Linked DNA regions of Caenorhabditis elegans. The protein of the gene in region 1 interacts with the protein of each later gene in a pairwise test. Each region holds a gene or a part of one and is shown in the gene's direction. Other genes may lie near its edges.

Region 1 (7,414 bases):
GAACAGATTTCAATGCGAGTCTTGCAAACAGGATATCGATGTCCACTCCAGAGTACTTCAGTGTCATGATTGGGACAAATGCCTTTTCGACTGCACATAACTCTGTGACTTCTGGATTCTTCGCAAGAATATCCTTGAATGAATTGAAGAAATCGGATCGGGTGATATGCCTCGGTGCAACTACAATACTGTCGATATCCGCTCCACTGCTGTGTACTCCAAGTCGATAAGATCCAAATGGAATTAGCTTTCCACCAGCATTGAACATTTGATCCTTTGGAATCCTTGAAATGGTAGTCTTCTGGACCCAATCCTTCACCAATCCATCAAGATTTTTTAAAACTTTGATTCTTAGAAGAGTTTCTTGTTTTGACTCGAAACTTTTGAATTCCTCGAGAGAAGATTGCAGAGAGCTCGTCAACGCAACGTCATTGGCCTTTGGGAAAGCTGTGGAGATCGGTTGAGAAACTCCGAAGATTGGCGTGGAAGAGGTTGCATTATTCACAGATTGCATTTTACAAGAGTTGGAGATAGATCGTTAGTGAGAGTATCTAAAAATATAAAAGGTTAGTAAGGAAGAGGGCATTAAATGATTTTCAAGAGTAATAAACGAGCCGGTAATTAATGGAAAATTATGACCAAAACGAAGCTTAAAGTTATAATGATTAAATGTTGAGGATTAATTATCGAAATTGGGCTTTTTTTCAGTGCACTCAAAACAGTCCAGCATAATTCATTATAATAATTAAAAATTTTAAAAAAAGTTGCCATTTTTCAATTTGAAAAACAGTTGTCACTTTATAATTGTAATTTAAAAAGGTTCAACCAATTTTTGAAGTTTTACTTTTTTTTTGGACCATAGTGACTTTAAACAATTTTCTAATAGGCGATAATTCGATTTTAATAGACTTTGACAACGAAACTCTAGAAAAAATAACAACTAAAAAAAACAAATAATCTGTATAACCAGACGACCATCCGGTAAAAGGCTAGGAGGCACAAATGACACAGAGAGCACATCTCATCTATATAGATCTTCAGTCTTGTGTTTGTAACGCAGCGTTTTTGATGTCAATCGATTATTATATTTTCTCATGGCAAAAAAGTGTGAGCTCTATATTATTGGCCTGTATCCGGATGGATATCCAACAACTCGTTTTTTAAAAAATTATTTGACAGGTATCAGAATTTGGAACAGTAAAAGAAAACTGAGTTTTGAAAAAAAAACGTTCGAATTATGTTGAGTGAGGAAATTATCATAACATATACCAGCACAAATGAGTTTCTAACTAAAGTGAAAGCTATTTTTAAATTTCATAGGTAAAAATAGTGACAAAAAATACTTGATTCAAATAAGTAACAAGAAATGTATAAAAGGGTAAGTTAGATAGTCGAATTACAAAAGGATTTTTTGGAACAAAAACTGTGTTTTGAAAATCGACACTGAAAATTAAAACCTCTCGGAATAAAAAAGACCTAAACTAATCCATTCGGAAAGGGTATGCTAAAGGTTTTAAATTTTATTAACATAATTTTAGAAACGCAACACGTTAACCAACAATATTTAATTTCAAAACTATAGAAAAACTAACAACAAATTGTTTAAAAAATAGTGACAGAGCAGCAAAAGAAATCCGACAATCCGGTAGAAGGCTAGGAGACACAAATGACATGGATGGCACACAACTCATCACATCTTCAGTCTACGAACGCAGCGTTTTTGTTATCAATCGATTATTTTCTGATGGCAAAAAAGTGAACTTTATATATATATTTTTTTGTTTTCAAATACATTGATTTTCGATACTTTATTTAGAAGAGAAAATGACAAAAAGAAATCAATAAGCTTTTTCAGACTTCTCCATTTTTTCCACACTTCCCTCCTTTGAATTCTTATTCCTCATCTTCTTTTGCCGTCTTGATTCTTTCTTCTTGGCTTCAGCTTCATCTTTATGAGACTCCAAGTCTGTCTTCGGATTTTCCTCTTCTTGCTCTTTCTTCGCAATTTTCAGATTCTTTACAAGAGGTTCGTTGTTATCAGCCTTGACTTCCTTTTTCACATCTTTCTCCACTTTTTCGTCCGGTTCCTTGTCCTAAGAATCGAAATTTAAAAAAAAACAATTTTCCAAACTCTTACCTCCTCCTTTTTCTTCGATTTCAATTTCTTCTCACTCAAAACCTTTATCGGCGACTTTTTCTTTTCAGGCGAAACTGGCTTCTTACATTCTTCCACAGATTTCTCAGCAGACGGTAGTTTTTGATTCTTCGAGTGGGATTCATCAATCGACATTTGTGATGGTGCTGCAGGTTTCGGTTGTGTGTTCTGGACATTTTGAACCTGAATTGCCACAAATATTCAAGCTACAAAATTTCATTTTCAATGTTAAACTAACTTTTGAAGTCTCTGAAAACGATGCTGGTGGTGGCTTCGGATCCTTTTTATTTTTGGCACAGAGCATCACGGAAATCGATGTGAACAGTAGGATTACTGTAGCGGAAAGTGTTCGCCATAAGCATTCGCTTAATAATTCGATTTCTAATCGAACCATTCGATCGAAAATTATAAAATGTTATATGGAAATGATTCATTTTTGTGTTGAAGTTACTTATTGATAATTGATAAAGATCTGTTAATTTTTTAAAAATTTTTCGTAGAGCTCACGGTTTGAATTTTAAATATATTATTTCAAGAAATAATTCAAAAAATATCTGAACGTGAACTTTTCTTTATTTTATTTTCAACAATTCATCAACGCCGCCTGTGCCGCCCGTATTCTATTTATTTCTATTTATTCTCCCTGAAAAGTCACCATTTTCGAACATGTCAGGAGTTGCAAAAAGGAAAATAAGAATCAAAAAACTCACTGAAGAAATCGCAAAGTTCGTTACCAAAAACATCACCGTCTAACAAGAAGCAGGCGTCAGCTAAGAAAGTTTCGGTAAGTTGAAAACATTTAAATGATTTTGAAAGTTTACCCATATCTCTTTAAATGCAGCTGAAAAGAAAGAATAGCGTTTTCATCGATCCAAGAATTCAAGAAGTTGCTGGTCCTTGTGAACCAAGTGATAATGGCAATAATGAAGAAGAAGATAAGATTATCAGTATCCGTGCAACTGCATCCAGTGCCAGCATTACCAAAGAGTCTGTACCAGAAGCCCCACCAACTCACTTTATTCCTGTCGTAGTGACGGTTGAGCCAGATGCCTGGGAGAAGTTTCGAGACATTATTCAAGTCAACAGGAACATAGTTATCGTGAAAGTTGGGAGGTGGTTGATGTCTAGTTTCATGCCAGGAGATCAGATATCACTTGTTAATGGAACTGCCATTTGGAATTCTGATGATCTTGAAAACCAAGTTCGCGGTCCGAAGAAGGAAACAAAAACTGAAGTTACAGTAATCCGTGTGTGGAATTTGAAATGCCTTACTGACATTCAGTTGGATAAGCTTCTTGTTCCACCAGAAGAGCAACTTCATTACTTTTCTGTAAAAGTTTACTCATCAAAAGGAACTATTGGATTGAAGTTGTGTTTGGACAAGAAACGAGTGCTCGTGGAACTTGTAAGCATTTCAATATATACCTTTTCGATTTAATTTTTAATTTTCTAGATTCGTGCCAAGACCCCAGTCAATTCAGCTCTACTCGTTGGAGATCAAATCTTGGGGATAAATGACGAGCTTCTGACTGCAAAAAGCAAGAGAGCTTTGAGAAAGCAAGTAGCAGAAGTAATGAAGAAGAGCATCAAGAAACAAGGATTCGCAGAGTATTTTCTAGATTTTTTTTGAAAATCGGAAATCTGAATAATTTTAGAATCATTGCTTGCCGTCAAGTCATCGCTCGAAGCTCCCCAGCACCAAGTTTGGAGGCGGAACTGTCCGAGAAGTTTGCGAACTATGCAGTTGGAGTAGAGAAAGGAACAAGAATTGAGAAGAAAGGTTTTTGAAAATGGTTTTCTTCTGAGAACTTTATAATTTCAGACTCCAGTGAAACAAACAGTCTTCCATTGCATTCCGATGCTTTGGAGATTGCATTGCGGGAGTTGGCATGCTTGAAGCAATGGATTGTAGAAAGTTCCACTGAAGTTGTAAGCTTAAATAGTGAATACGTTTTCTAAAAATACAATTATTATTTCCAGCCACCGTGCGACAAGGGGCCTACTCTCATGATCGATCCACCAACTGCGCCTGGCTCTGCCGAAGGATGCCCACCTCCATTAGTGAAGGCCAAATCCACAACAAATGCAATCGAGCGATCGGTTTACTTCCCGTTAAGCACAACTGCTGCTGTTGCGATTCTTGTAAGCACTCCAAAGAAGCGAAGCATTTTTAGACAACAGGACAGGAATTCGGCTATCAATTTTGCGGTAGGTTAAGTTTTTCAAAAATTGTGAATAAAAATATTAATTTACAGGAGCAGCCCGACCACGAAAAGATCACATCGGATATTCCTGAAGAGGATGACCTGAAGAAATGCGAGCCTATGTCTGGAATTGCTGCATACATTAAGAAAAAGTTCAATTAGGCAGAGATATGTGTGAATAAATCGTTTTTACATGTTTCTGTGTTTTCTAGAACTTGACAGTTATTATCCACTATTTATTAATTTATTTCGTATTCCAAATAACAATCCGCTCACATAGCATTATTACTCGAATTAAAATTAAACGTAGAAATATCGATTAAAATATTTCCTTCGGACTCCTCTTGGAATCCATTGAAGCACTTGCAGTTATACTGATGAAGCTCGCTCCTCAATAAGTTATCCAAATGTTTGATATAACGGATTGCAAGCCGGAGAGTGTCAACTTTTGAGATTCGCTTTTCACTGGAAAATATTATTGTCAACTGTATCTATAGGAAGATAATTATTGATTAAATGTTTTGATAGGTACGTGTCACTAGCCAAATTTTGGTAGCAAAATCTTGGAAATACTTGGCATTATAATAGTAGCCTTTTGCATGAGTTGCTGCCAGATAGCTGTCACGGGGATTCCCGAGTTTCCTTCGGGATTTAATAGCATTTCAAGGTAAATTTGAGGTAAACTTTACTCTAAATGAATTTTCTCATCTACAACTTCCCTACAATTTCCAGAAGCATTTTTTTAATTTTTTAGAAAATCATTGAAACTTACTCAAAATGAACTGGAAGATGTTTTCTCAGTCTCTCATAACCATCATTCACATTTCTCACTCGACATCGCTCACGTTCGTTTCGTTTCCAAACTGATGAGCTGAAAATTAAAATTTTCAAACTTTAATAAAAGCATGATCTTACCTATATGGTCCGTATTGATCTTCAAGTTCAACAGGCAGGGGTACTGTAGCTTCAGGTGCAAATGGGTTCACATATTTCTTAAAGGCGTTTGAGCTAGTGTCCAATGACGCTTTAGAAGAAGGTTTTGGCTGACTTTGAGTGGGAAGTTGAGGTTGAACTTGGCTTTGAATTTGAATTTGTGGTTGATTGTGAATAGGTATTTGAGATATTTGTGGTTGAAGTTGAGATTGAATTTGAGTCGGGATTGGTGCAAGTTGGAGTGGGGTGGAAGTTGGAATGTGGAATTGCTGATCGATTAGTGGTACTGTAATATATTCAAAAAATGATATAAGTACATACATAATACATTTATTGGAGTTAGTTTCCATTTGGATAATTTTTAGATTTTTAGAGATATAAGCTGTCACCTTTGAATAATCGGGTGCAATATAAAACATTCACTCACCCATTAGTTTTTGTACATCGGTTTGAACATTTTCCAGTAGAAGATTTGTATTTGGAATTGAAGTTTGAATATGATTTTGAATATGATGTTGAATCGGATTTGGAATCGGGGTTTGAATAGTATTCTGGTTGATAATAGTCGAGTAGACCCCATTCTCAAATGTATAAGTTACAGGGAACATGGTCAAAAAGTTGTTTTGGGAAATTGACATTTTTTGAACTATTCTAAGCAGGTTATCTATAACTGACTATCCACAGGGACAACCTAAACAGTAAAATGTGGGCGGGGCCTACAGTAAATATAAGCTGTGCAAACAATCGGGGAGCCAACCCGAAAAAGGCGATCCATGCATGATATTTATTTGTTAGCCACCGAAATGTGGTTTTGCACAATGAGCACATCATTTGTCGGCTTCCGACATTATTTATTGAGGGCAATTGGGAAACATCGATATTGGAAAAAAAAACCCGCAAAAACAGAATTTCCGAAATGAATTTTGTATTATATTTACAGTGTCATTTTCTAGGTATATTTCTTGAGTAAATACTGAAGCAGATGTTTGGTATGCGAGCTATATGATAATCAATCATTTTTTGTTTTGATTGAATATGGTAATTTCCCATAATTAACACCTGCACATCATCAGAATATACGAAAAGATTGCAATTTTTCATCATTGTAGGTGATTTCAGTGGGAAAAACTAGTTTTCATATAAAATTTCGAAAGGTCCTGGCACGACTAACCCTTTATTACCTCTCCTACCCGAAAATACGGTACCTGGTCTCGGAACGGCACATTTTTGTTAGATGCGAGTAGATGTGCGCCTTTAAAGAGTAATACAGTTTTCCTCGTGATTTGACAAAATGTATATATTTTTTGTTGTTACATTTGAATTGTAAAAATATAAATAAATATTTTTTTTTAATTGTAAAAAAACTTAAAAATCGATGAAAGCTTGAAAGCTGCGCTGAAACGAAAGTTTTAAATTACAGTACTCTTTAAAGGAGCACACCTCTCGCATTCAACAAAAAAATGTGTGTCGAGACCGTGTACCGTATTTTTGGCATAAAACTTCGCGCCTGGCCAATATGTATATTATTTCTCAATGCGAATTGTCTTAACTTTAAAAAAATACTTTTCAGAATTTTTTAAGTGTCTGCTTTCTTCAAATTTGTCGATGCTGAGAATCAAAATTTTAAAATTACTGAATACTTTATAAATAGGAACTTTCGATGAAAATAAAAATAAGATCAGTCAGTTACAGGAACCCATTGATCCTGTTCCTTTTCTGAAAACTTATAAAATACTGACACACAACGCTATAATTTATATGGCACATTAAAAACACGATACTAAAAACTTAAAGTAGATCACAGGGCAAAACGAAAAAAAAAAAAATTTTATTTTTGTGCCTGACGAATTCGATCCCTGAGCCGTGTAAGTTGTTCCAATGAGAAGTCTTTGAACAAATCTTCCAACTGTTCAACTCGAACCCTTTCCTTTTCTTCCATCATTTTCATTGTCGCGTCGTGAAGCTTTCGTTGCCGATTTCGTTCGGCAATCAGCTCTTTTTGCATTTCTTCGTTTCGTTTTTTTACATTTTCGTACGATTGGAGAGAAGCGGCCTGTAAAGTTCATATTTTGTAGTTGAAAGTTTATCTAATCTCTCCACTTACACATAACTTGCTGATTTT
Region 2 (8,337 bases), on another chromosome or scaffold:
CGAGGAATCTTTGTTTTTTCTTTCAAAAATTATCAGAAGAAATTAAAGAATACAAGAACAACTAGTAAATAGTTCCAAGAAGAAAAAGATTTTATTCAATATTTGCCTCTGTTGTAACTATTAACAAGAATAAGGAGATGTCAATTGCAGGAATATCAATCTCAGATATTAAAAGAAAACATAATCTTCAAAATAAATTAAGAAATGACGAGAAATAGAAAGGAAGATGGGTAGCCATCAAATTCAGAAGCTTTATTTCTTAGCCGTAACTTCTAAGAGTTTGAATACGTATTATTGTATCATGTAAAACTTTATTTGCTGATTTTGGCAGTAATGTAGTAAATTATAGGCAATTTTTGAAATTGGTTAGCTTCACTCAACATATTGTAAAATTTAAAAGTAATTTACTTGTTGATAATTTATTCACTATTAACAGAAAAATATTGCATTTTAACGGTCGCTTAAATTTAGTTTGAAGGTTGATAATCTAAATATTGTGACGCCTGTATAAATGGTCAAACAATTGATATTATTGAGGTATTGTGGCTTCTTCAGCCATTTTCAACCGTTTTAATATTTTTAAAAAAGTTTACCACAATACCAATATCAACTGTTTGATCCCTTATACAGGTGTACCTTCTGCTCCTTTGTTTTTGAAAAATGACCAAAATGCACACTTTGTCTATTGGAAAGATCAAATGAGCAATTATGAGATTATTTTATCCACCGAGAGAAATAGATGTCTCGTGGTTAAAAAAGATGTAGAAGCATTATTCTCGTTTGCCTAATTTAAAATTTGATAAATTTTTTAAAGAAATTCGAAATTCATTTTGAGTTATATGTTTTTGAGCAATATGTGTTCATAATTTTCAGACAAAGTTTTGTGAACAGCCAATTTCCTAAAACGTTAAACTTTTTGAATAATTTCAAGCATCGCTGCCAAGTACAATGTTTAAAAACAAATAATTGATCCAAATAAAAATATAAAGAAGAACAAATAAATTACGTTCAAGACTACAATATGTGAAGTGAAAGTTTTTACAATGATTTTTGCTAATTTTAGCACTGGTTTTTTTTAAACTTCCTTACTGATATTGCAATATTCATTTTTCGATGCCAAATGGTCCATTCAAACGAATCAACTTTCTACAGTAACCCACTAGACCCATTCAAATGTATCAAACTCTCAAGACAATACCGATGGTTTCGCCGAAAAAAGTTCAAAAGCGAGACCGGAAGTAGCTAATCGTATCAAGTACAATAGATCCAATGCTCCTTCAGAAAAGAGTGAGAATAATTATGTATTCACAAGAGGGAGCATGCATCCCGACAGTATTGTCTCCATGTCTCAAGAGCTAATTACCATTTGTAACAGGTATGAGAGGAGGATGTGTTAAACAAGAGAAGATACTACAGGTCAACCGGAAAATCAATTTTTCTTTCTTTGTTTGAATTTTCTTAGAAAATATGATCAGGTGTAGGGATGGCAACACCCGACAAAAAGAATTGAAACGTTTTCATTAGCAGAAACAGTGCAAAAACTGAAATTTATTAGCCTTTCTGATTTTTCAGATTTTCAAATAGTTTCTGATCAAATAAAATTAGGATATTTTTGATTGAATGAGCAAATACACAACTTTTCTATAATTTTCTAAAACGTTGAAAATTCCTAACAAAGTTCAAAGATAACTTATTTTTATTTAACCGCAAACTGCAATTTTTGAACTGCTCAGTCGGCAAAACCTCACATAATATTACAAAAAAGAAACCCCGAAAATGTATACTTTGGCCACACATATTTCTGAAAATTTGTGAAATTGAGAAGTTGAAAAATCAAATCTCCATAAAAACCCCTTCGGTAAGTGTTCATAAAACAATTATTTTGTCAAAAATTTTCCAGCAACTTATACAATAGTAGATAATTATGAAAATTGAGAAATCACGTGATATCCAACTCTCTTAGTCTCAATGCAGCAACAAATAAAAATTCTCATCAACCACCGTAACCAACTATTTTTATTATCTCAAATCCCAAGTTCCCATACCATTAAAACTCGAGACTGTGCACATAATTGGATTGGATACTTGTGAAAAACTGAGTTGTATCTTACACATTCCACTCTTTCTGTTTTGGACAAAAAAATAGTGGGAAATTTATGTTTGAATAGAATTCGATAAATACATGTGTGTGGATTTTTTCGAAATTGGAAAATATTTAGTTTGATATTTTGTAATCATTTTCACAATTTTTTAACACGTTAAAAAACAAAAAAAAAGAATATTAAAAACCAAAACCAAATGAAGAAAAATCTGTACGAATAGAAAAGTTGCATAACACCCAAGAATAATAATAATTGGCTAAAGATGGAGAATTTAATAGTTGCGTGACGGCGGAACAAAACTAGATGACCATTTAGACGGTTACTCAATATATTTAATTGCACTTTTTATGAAGATGCTATGGTTTTTCAATGTTTTTTCTCTTTTTGAACTGTCTCGTATTGCAAGTTATGGCTAACGGAATCGAAAGTTTGAAAGAAAAAGGAAAATGGAAGATTCTTGATGTTTGCTAATATATCGTATTCTCTAAGGATTCCAACAAGAAATGCATCACGTTCACAGTTTGGAAATACAAGTTCTACCGTATTCTACCATAATTTCATTTCTCAAGCATTTTTTTTCCAAATTTCAATGTATAAAAAAGACACAACGCAAGACTTGCATCAACACCCAGGTGGTCTCTAACTGCCCTTTTTTTCACTTTTTTACCTCGAGAATTTTGGGAAAAAAAGTTGAAGGAGTGTCAAGACACATCTTTGGTTATGTAACTATTGCGTAATCGAGACTTTAGGCAGCATTCACGTAATTTGGAAATTTAGAATTAAATTCAATATGTAGAAATAAACGTTTGAAAGCTAGCAAATTATAGAGGGAAATAATATTTTTAGAGTTTAGATTTCTGTGAGAATTCTTGACAAATTTTTAGCACCTACGATCGTGATGAGAAATCAAATCAATAAAAATTGGAACTTGCGAGAACATAGCGAGACCTTAATTCACCAATTTTGAACAAATGTCTCGATTTAAAACTTGAAAAACGGAGTATTGAATAGATGAGCACCTACCTCTCATCTCCTCAACCGGGAGGCGTGATGTGGCTAGTGTTTGCGAACAACGGAAAAGAAATAAGATTGAAGAAGGTAGAATAGAAGAAGAAGTCAAGTGAGAGCAGGTAAAACAGTTCAGTGCACATATTTATGGAAAATGATGGAATGGAGAAACGGAATTTTAAAAAAATTTGAAATGATGACTGGCTTGTTGCAAGTGTTTTTCGAAGAATACCGTATTTCCTCTATTAGTAATTTATTTATTCAACCAACTTTTCCTTTTATTTTCTTCCATATCCTGACAGAAAATGCTTAGGTATGATGTTATGAATATGGAAATTTTATTTTTGAAAAGATTATATTCAATTTGATAGTTCCAGTAAACAATTAAACGTTTCGAATTCCAACTTTTTATTGATCTTTGCAGTTTCTCTGAAATTGGCTTTGTTATTTTATTTTTCAAACTTTGGCCCAGTATTCCTGTAAACTAAGAACCCAGTTTGCAAGTACGTCAGTCTAAAAGATGATTTAGTATTTCGAATGTAGTTGTGCCACGAATCAGTAAAATCATCATTTAAATGTGATAGCGAAAACGGAATTGAACTCGCAAATCAGCGATAAATTATTTGATAAGGAAAAGTGTATAAGTGGGTGCTTATCAACTGAAAACTCTTGCTTTATTTCACTTTTTCTTTTTATTCTAGAAAGTGGAAACATGAAGACTCTTTTGGCAGTGCTACTGGCAGGTAAATTTAATTTTAAACATCGTTTTAGAATTTCTGTAGCTACTTTCTCTTTGAGGAGCTTAAAAGTGAAGTTGCCCAGATTCAATGCCAGTTCCGTAAATTTCATGAGTCGTTTTTTTCTAAAATTCGTGACCATTAGGCTATATGGCCAGAACATATTTTTATTACTCAAAATCTAAAAAAACAAATTATGAAGTCTCACATATTTTTCTGGAAATAAGGAATCTGGAAACTGTTTTCGACGGGAATATACTCTATCTAGACCTAGATCTAGTCTAGCCAATGTTCTCAAATGTTGTATTGTTGAATCTTTCAAAAGAATTTTCTACTAATCTTTACAACGAAATACACAAAATTTATAATTCGTGGATTCATTTTTATCGAGACGAGCAACTGTCTAAAAACTAAGGTTTCAAAACTGATAACATTATTTACCATCGAATTAATAAATTTTAAGTTCAGTTCTATGTTTACCATAGTTTCTGTAGTTTCACACTGAATAACTTAACATTTCAGCATGTGTGCTGACCCAGGTATTGTCTGCTCCAAGCAATGAGCAGCGTGTTCGTCGTAACATGATCCGTGGACGTCCACGTGGAGGAATGAAGAAGACTCCACCAGTAAGTGTTCAAACATCCAATGTACAGAACAAAAAAAGTCTATTCCAGATGTCTTCCGTTTCTCATATGATCAACTTTGACAATGTAGTCTCATCTACTTTCACTCAAACTCTTGATCATTTTGATTCTTCCGTCGGAAAGACTTTCCAGCAGAGATATTATCATAACAACCAATGGTACAAGGCTGGAGGACCAGCTTTCTTGATGCTTGGAGGAGAAGGACCAGAGTCTAGTTATTGGGTTTCTTATCGTTAGTTTACTTTTTTATCATACAAGACATTTTATTTTTAAAGCTGGACTTGAAATCACCAACTTGGCTGCCAAACAAGGAGCCTGGGTCTTTGATATTGAGCACAGATTCTATGGAGAGACTCACCCAACCAGGTATTTCTTTTTACGAAATAACTCCCTATTATTAATGTTTTCCAGCGACATGTCCGTACCAAACCTGAAATACTTGTCTTCTGCCCAAGCTATTGAGGATGCCGCCGCTTTCATTAAGGCAATGACCGCCAAGTTCCCACAATTGGCCAATGCCAAGTGGGTCACTTTCGGAGGATCCTACTCTGGAGCTTTGGCCGCATGGACTCGTGCAAAGCATCCAGAATTGGTGTATGCTGCTGTTGGATCCAGTGGTCCAGTTCAAGCCGAGGTTGACTTCAAAGGTTAAAAAGATACGCAGCAATTTACTTCCAATTACTTTCTATTTCAGAGTATCTTGAGGTTGTACAAAACTCAATTACCCGTAACTCAACTGAGTGTGCCGCCAGTGTGACCCAAGGATTCAACTTGGTTGCTTCTCTTCTTCAAACTTCCGATGGACGCAAACAATTGAAAACTGCTTTCCAGTGAGTTTATTATGATGTATGCTTACTAGTTAGCCAAAGCCAAAAACCTCGAGTGAACCTTCTGTATTCCCCCCATTCCTGCGCGTTTCAAACTGAATTAACCGCTCTAACTTTTTTGAAACTTTTCTCTGGAAGTTCCAGTCTCTACATAGTTCCTTTGTCAGCTATTCTAGTCACAAATGTTTTGAGAAGTGCGTATAACTTGGCGTGTTCATTCAATGCGTCAAATTGAAATATATATTGTAAAATAAGCAACAATTTTTCAGTCTCTGCCAAGACATTCAAATGGACGATAAATCACTCAAGTATTTCTGGGAAACAGTATATTCTCCATACATGGAGGTTGTTCAATATTCTGGTGATGCCGCTGGATCGTTTGCCACTCAACTCACAATTTCTCATGCCATTTGCCGTTATCACATTAACACTAAATCAACACCACTTCAGAAATTGAAACAAGTCAATGACTATTTTAACCAAGTCAGTGGATATTTCGGATGCAATGATATTGATTACAATGGTTTCATTTCTTTCATGAAAGATGAAACATTCGGAGAGGCTCAATCTGACAGAGCATGGGTTTGGCAGACTTGCACTGAGTTCGGATATTATCAATCAACTTCATCAGCTACTGCTGGACCATGGTTCGGAGGTGTAAGCAATCTTCCAGCTCAATATTATATTGATGAATGTACTGCTATCTATGGAGCTGCATACAATAGTCAAGAAGTTCAGACATCTGTAGATTACACTAATCAATATTATGGAGGAAGAGATAATTTGAACACTGACAGAATTCTTCTACCAAATGGAGATATTGATCCATGGCATGCACTTGGAAAATTGACAAGCTCGAACAGCAATATTGTGCCAGTTGTGATCAATGGTAATCTTGAACTTTATGTACAAAAATAGTATAATTACATTAATTCCAGGAACCGCCCATTGTGCTGACATGTACGGAGCATCCAGCTTGGATAGTATGTACTTGACAAACGCCCGCCAAAGAATCTCGGATGTTCTTGATGGATGGCTTCATGCTAATTAATTGTTATGGATTTTATGTTATAGAAATGAAAATTTGACTCTAATATTTCATATCAACGATATTACAAAAATAATAACAATAATCTAAATGTTATAAATAACAAAAGGAAAACATTATCGTCTCGGTGGCAGCAAAATCTTCTGTTTCTCCTCATCAATCTCGTCTAAGATCCGATCATCGCCAGCCCAAATTGCTTCCAAATCGTACTTCTCACGGCATTCTTCACTCATTACGTGCACCTGAAGTATAGGCATTAAAAAATATAATATGTAGGAAGTAATACCTGAACTCTTTCCACCTCACTGACATACCATCCATTGCTTCGTTTTGTGCTCCTTCGTGCATGTGACATGGATCCATTCGACACTCCGTCAATTTTTAGAAGAGATCGAAGATTTTCAGAAATTGCTGAAGCTTGTCGCGAATTGAATGCTGAGCAAATTATCTGAAAATATGAGATTAATTTTCTCCTTACTGAATTACGAGGATTAATTACCTTATGTGTATACGGTGTCATTTCTGTTTCTTCTGATTTTACAACAAATACATCTTTTGCTCTTTGATCAGTCAAAGCTCCGACCACATTCTCTACAAAATCAGCGTCTTCTGACAAATTCTGGCTTCTGAATCCTGTCCGTTTTGGAGGTTCTTGACTTGTTTCGTGACTGGAAATGATTCCAGTTGGCTCTAATTCTTCGAAATATTCCTCTTCGATATGCGAATTTTGAGCAAGATATCGTAACTGTAGAATTGGACGAAGTCGTGTGAATCGTGTAAGCATTCTGAAACGACATATTCTTGACAAAAGCATCTCGAGAAATTAGAAAAATAATAAATTTGAGTTGGTTTTGACACATATTTAGAAAAAAACAATTGAATTTCGCTTTGATAATTTTTTATTCAAAAAAGGCATAAAAAGATCAGAGTAAGAAACAACAGAGTAGCTTGAGATAAAAAATCAACAATAACAACAAAAATGTGATAAATTCAACAAAAATTAATCGGATCCAGTGTACTTTGATGCTTGGCTCTTCTTCTTGCGAACACGACGTTTCTCAATTTGAGCAGTGATCTGAGCAGCAGCCTCTGAGTCAGCAGCGGCATTGTTTTGTGTATCGAATTCCTGGAAAGGAAGATAAATTAAAAACTCGTTCAAATCGATTGTGGTACTTGGAAATAATTGTATAATAATTTTATAGTAAATATTATGACTGTATTTTGTCAAATTTGATTTTAATTTCATGTTTTTTATTTTCAAAATCGTACCTTTCCAACCAAATCAACAGTCTTTTCAGCGAGAATTTCTGTGACTTTAGCTTGTTTGATATTTGATGCTTTCACAGCCAACTGTTTCTCGATATACGAATGTTGTCCTTTACGGTGTTCACGGCGGATCACATTTGGAGAGACGTAGTTTGGGTTGTCGTACAGTACGGCTCCTTCGAATGAGCCAGCGAACAAACGAACCATTTCCAAAACGAAGCGTGGTCCTGAAGAAAAATGTTGTGCATGTAAATAAAAAGTATTCAAACTATATACTCACCAACTTCCTGAAGTTGAAGACTCTCATCAACAATTTGAAAATTGCGGAACCAGATTTTATCACCTTCTCCAACAGAAAAATTAAAGACGTGATCCACAAATGGCTGACTGCGTGGATGATGATGTGGTGTTCCAAGAGTCTGAAATTATTTTGTGAAAATTATAATTTTTTCTAACAAAATATTTATTCAAATTCAATTTTTACAAAATTACCTGCATAAGCACGGCCTTGATAAGCTTCAATTGTGGTTTCTTATCAAAAGCATCGTCAAATGAAAGGACTGGTCTTGAAGCTCTCAGACAATTTCCTGACATTTTGAGTTCCTTCATTGTATGCACATTGTGCACCAAGAATTTGATGGATGGCCCCTTCTCAACATTTGACATCCAGAGATAAGTGTCCTTTCTCTTACGACTTTCAAAGTA

Evidence for each region.
Region 2: the proteins of T15H9.4 (region 1) and K12H4.7 interact in a two-hybrid assay, tested with the Caenorhabditis elegans proteins (one large-scale study listed by BioGRID).

The regions. Positions count from the first base shown.
Region 1 is NC_003280.10:9,608,883-9,616,296, forward strand, and holds T15H9.4 (uncharacterized protein), read left to right. Parts: upstream 1-2,990; coding exon 2,991-3,560; intron 3,561-3,608; coding exon 3,609-3,763; intron 3,764-3,810; coding exon 3,811-3,935; intron 3,936-3,977; coding exon 3,978-4,084; intron 4,085-4,135; coding exon 4,136-4,363; intron 4,364-4,410; coding exon 4,411-4,521; 3' UTR 4,522-4,526; downstream 4,527-7,414. Other genes in the region: pap-2 (Poly(A) polymerase), read right to left, coding at 1-514; T15H9.5 (uncharacterized protein), read right to left, coding at 1,839-2,093, 2,138-2,338, 2,394-2,459; hlh-6 (Helix-loop-helix protein 6), read right to left, coding at 4,632-4,824, 5,132-5,230, 5,275-5,578, 5,720-5,930; hal-3 (uncharacterized protein), read right to left, coding at 7,121-7,345, 7,397-7,414.
Region 2 is NC_003281.10:8,046,526-8,054,862, reverse strand, and holds K12H4.7 (Putative serine protease K12H4.7), read left to right. Parts: upstream 1-3,781; 5' UTR 3,782-3,822; coding exon 3,823-3,853; intron 3,854-4,369; coding exon 4,370-4,473; intron 4,474-4,521; coding exon 4,522-4,723; intron 4,724-4,766; coding exon 4,767-4,857; intron 4,858-4,902; coding exon 4,903-5,138; intron 5,139-5,185; coding exon 5,186-5,321; intron 5,322-5,587; coding exon 5,588-6,207; intron 6,208-6,256; coding exon 6,257-6,369; 3' UTR 6,370-6,413; downstream 6,414-8,337. Other genes in the region: mals-1 (Mitochondrial Assembly of ribosomal Large Subunit), read right to left, coding at 6,483-6,608, 6,653-6,814, 6,866-7,150; K12H4.3 (Ribosome biogenesis protein BRX1 homolog), read right to left, coding at 7,367-7,492, 7,636-7,859, 7,913-8,051, 8,125-8,337.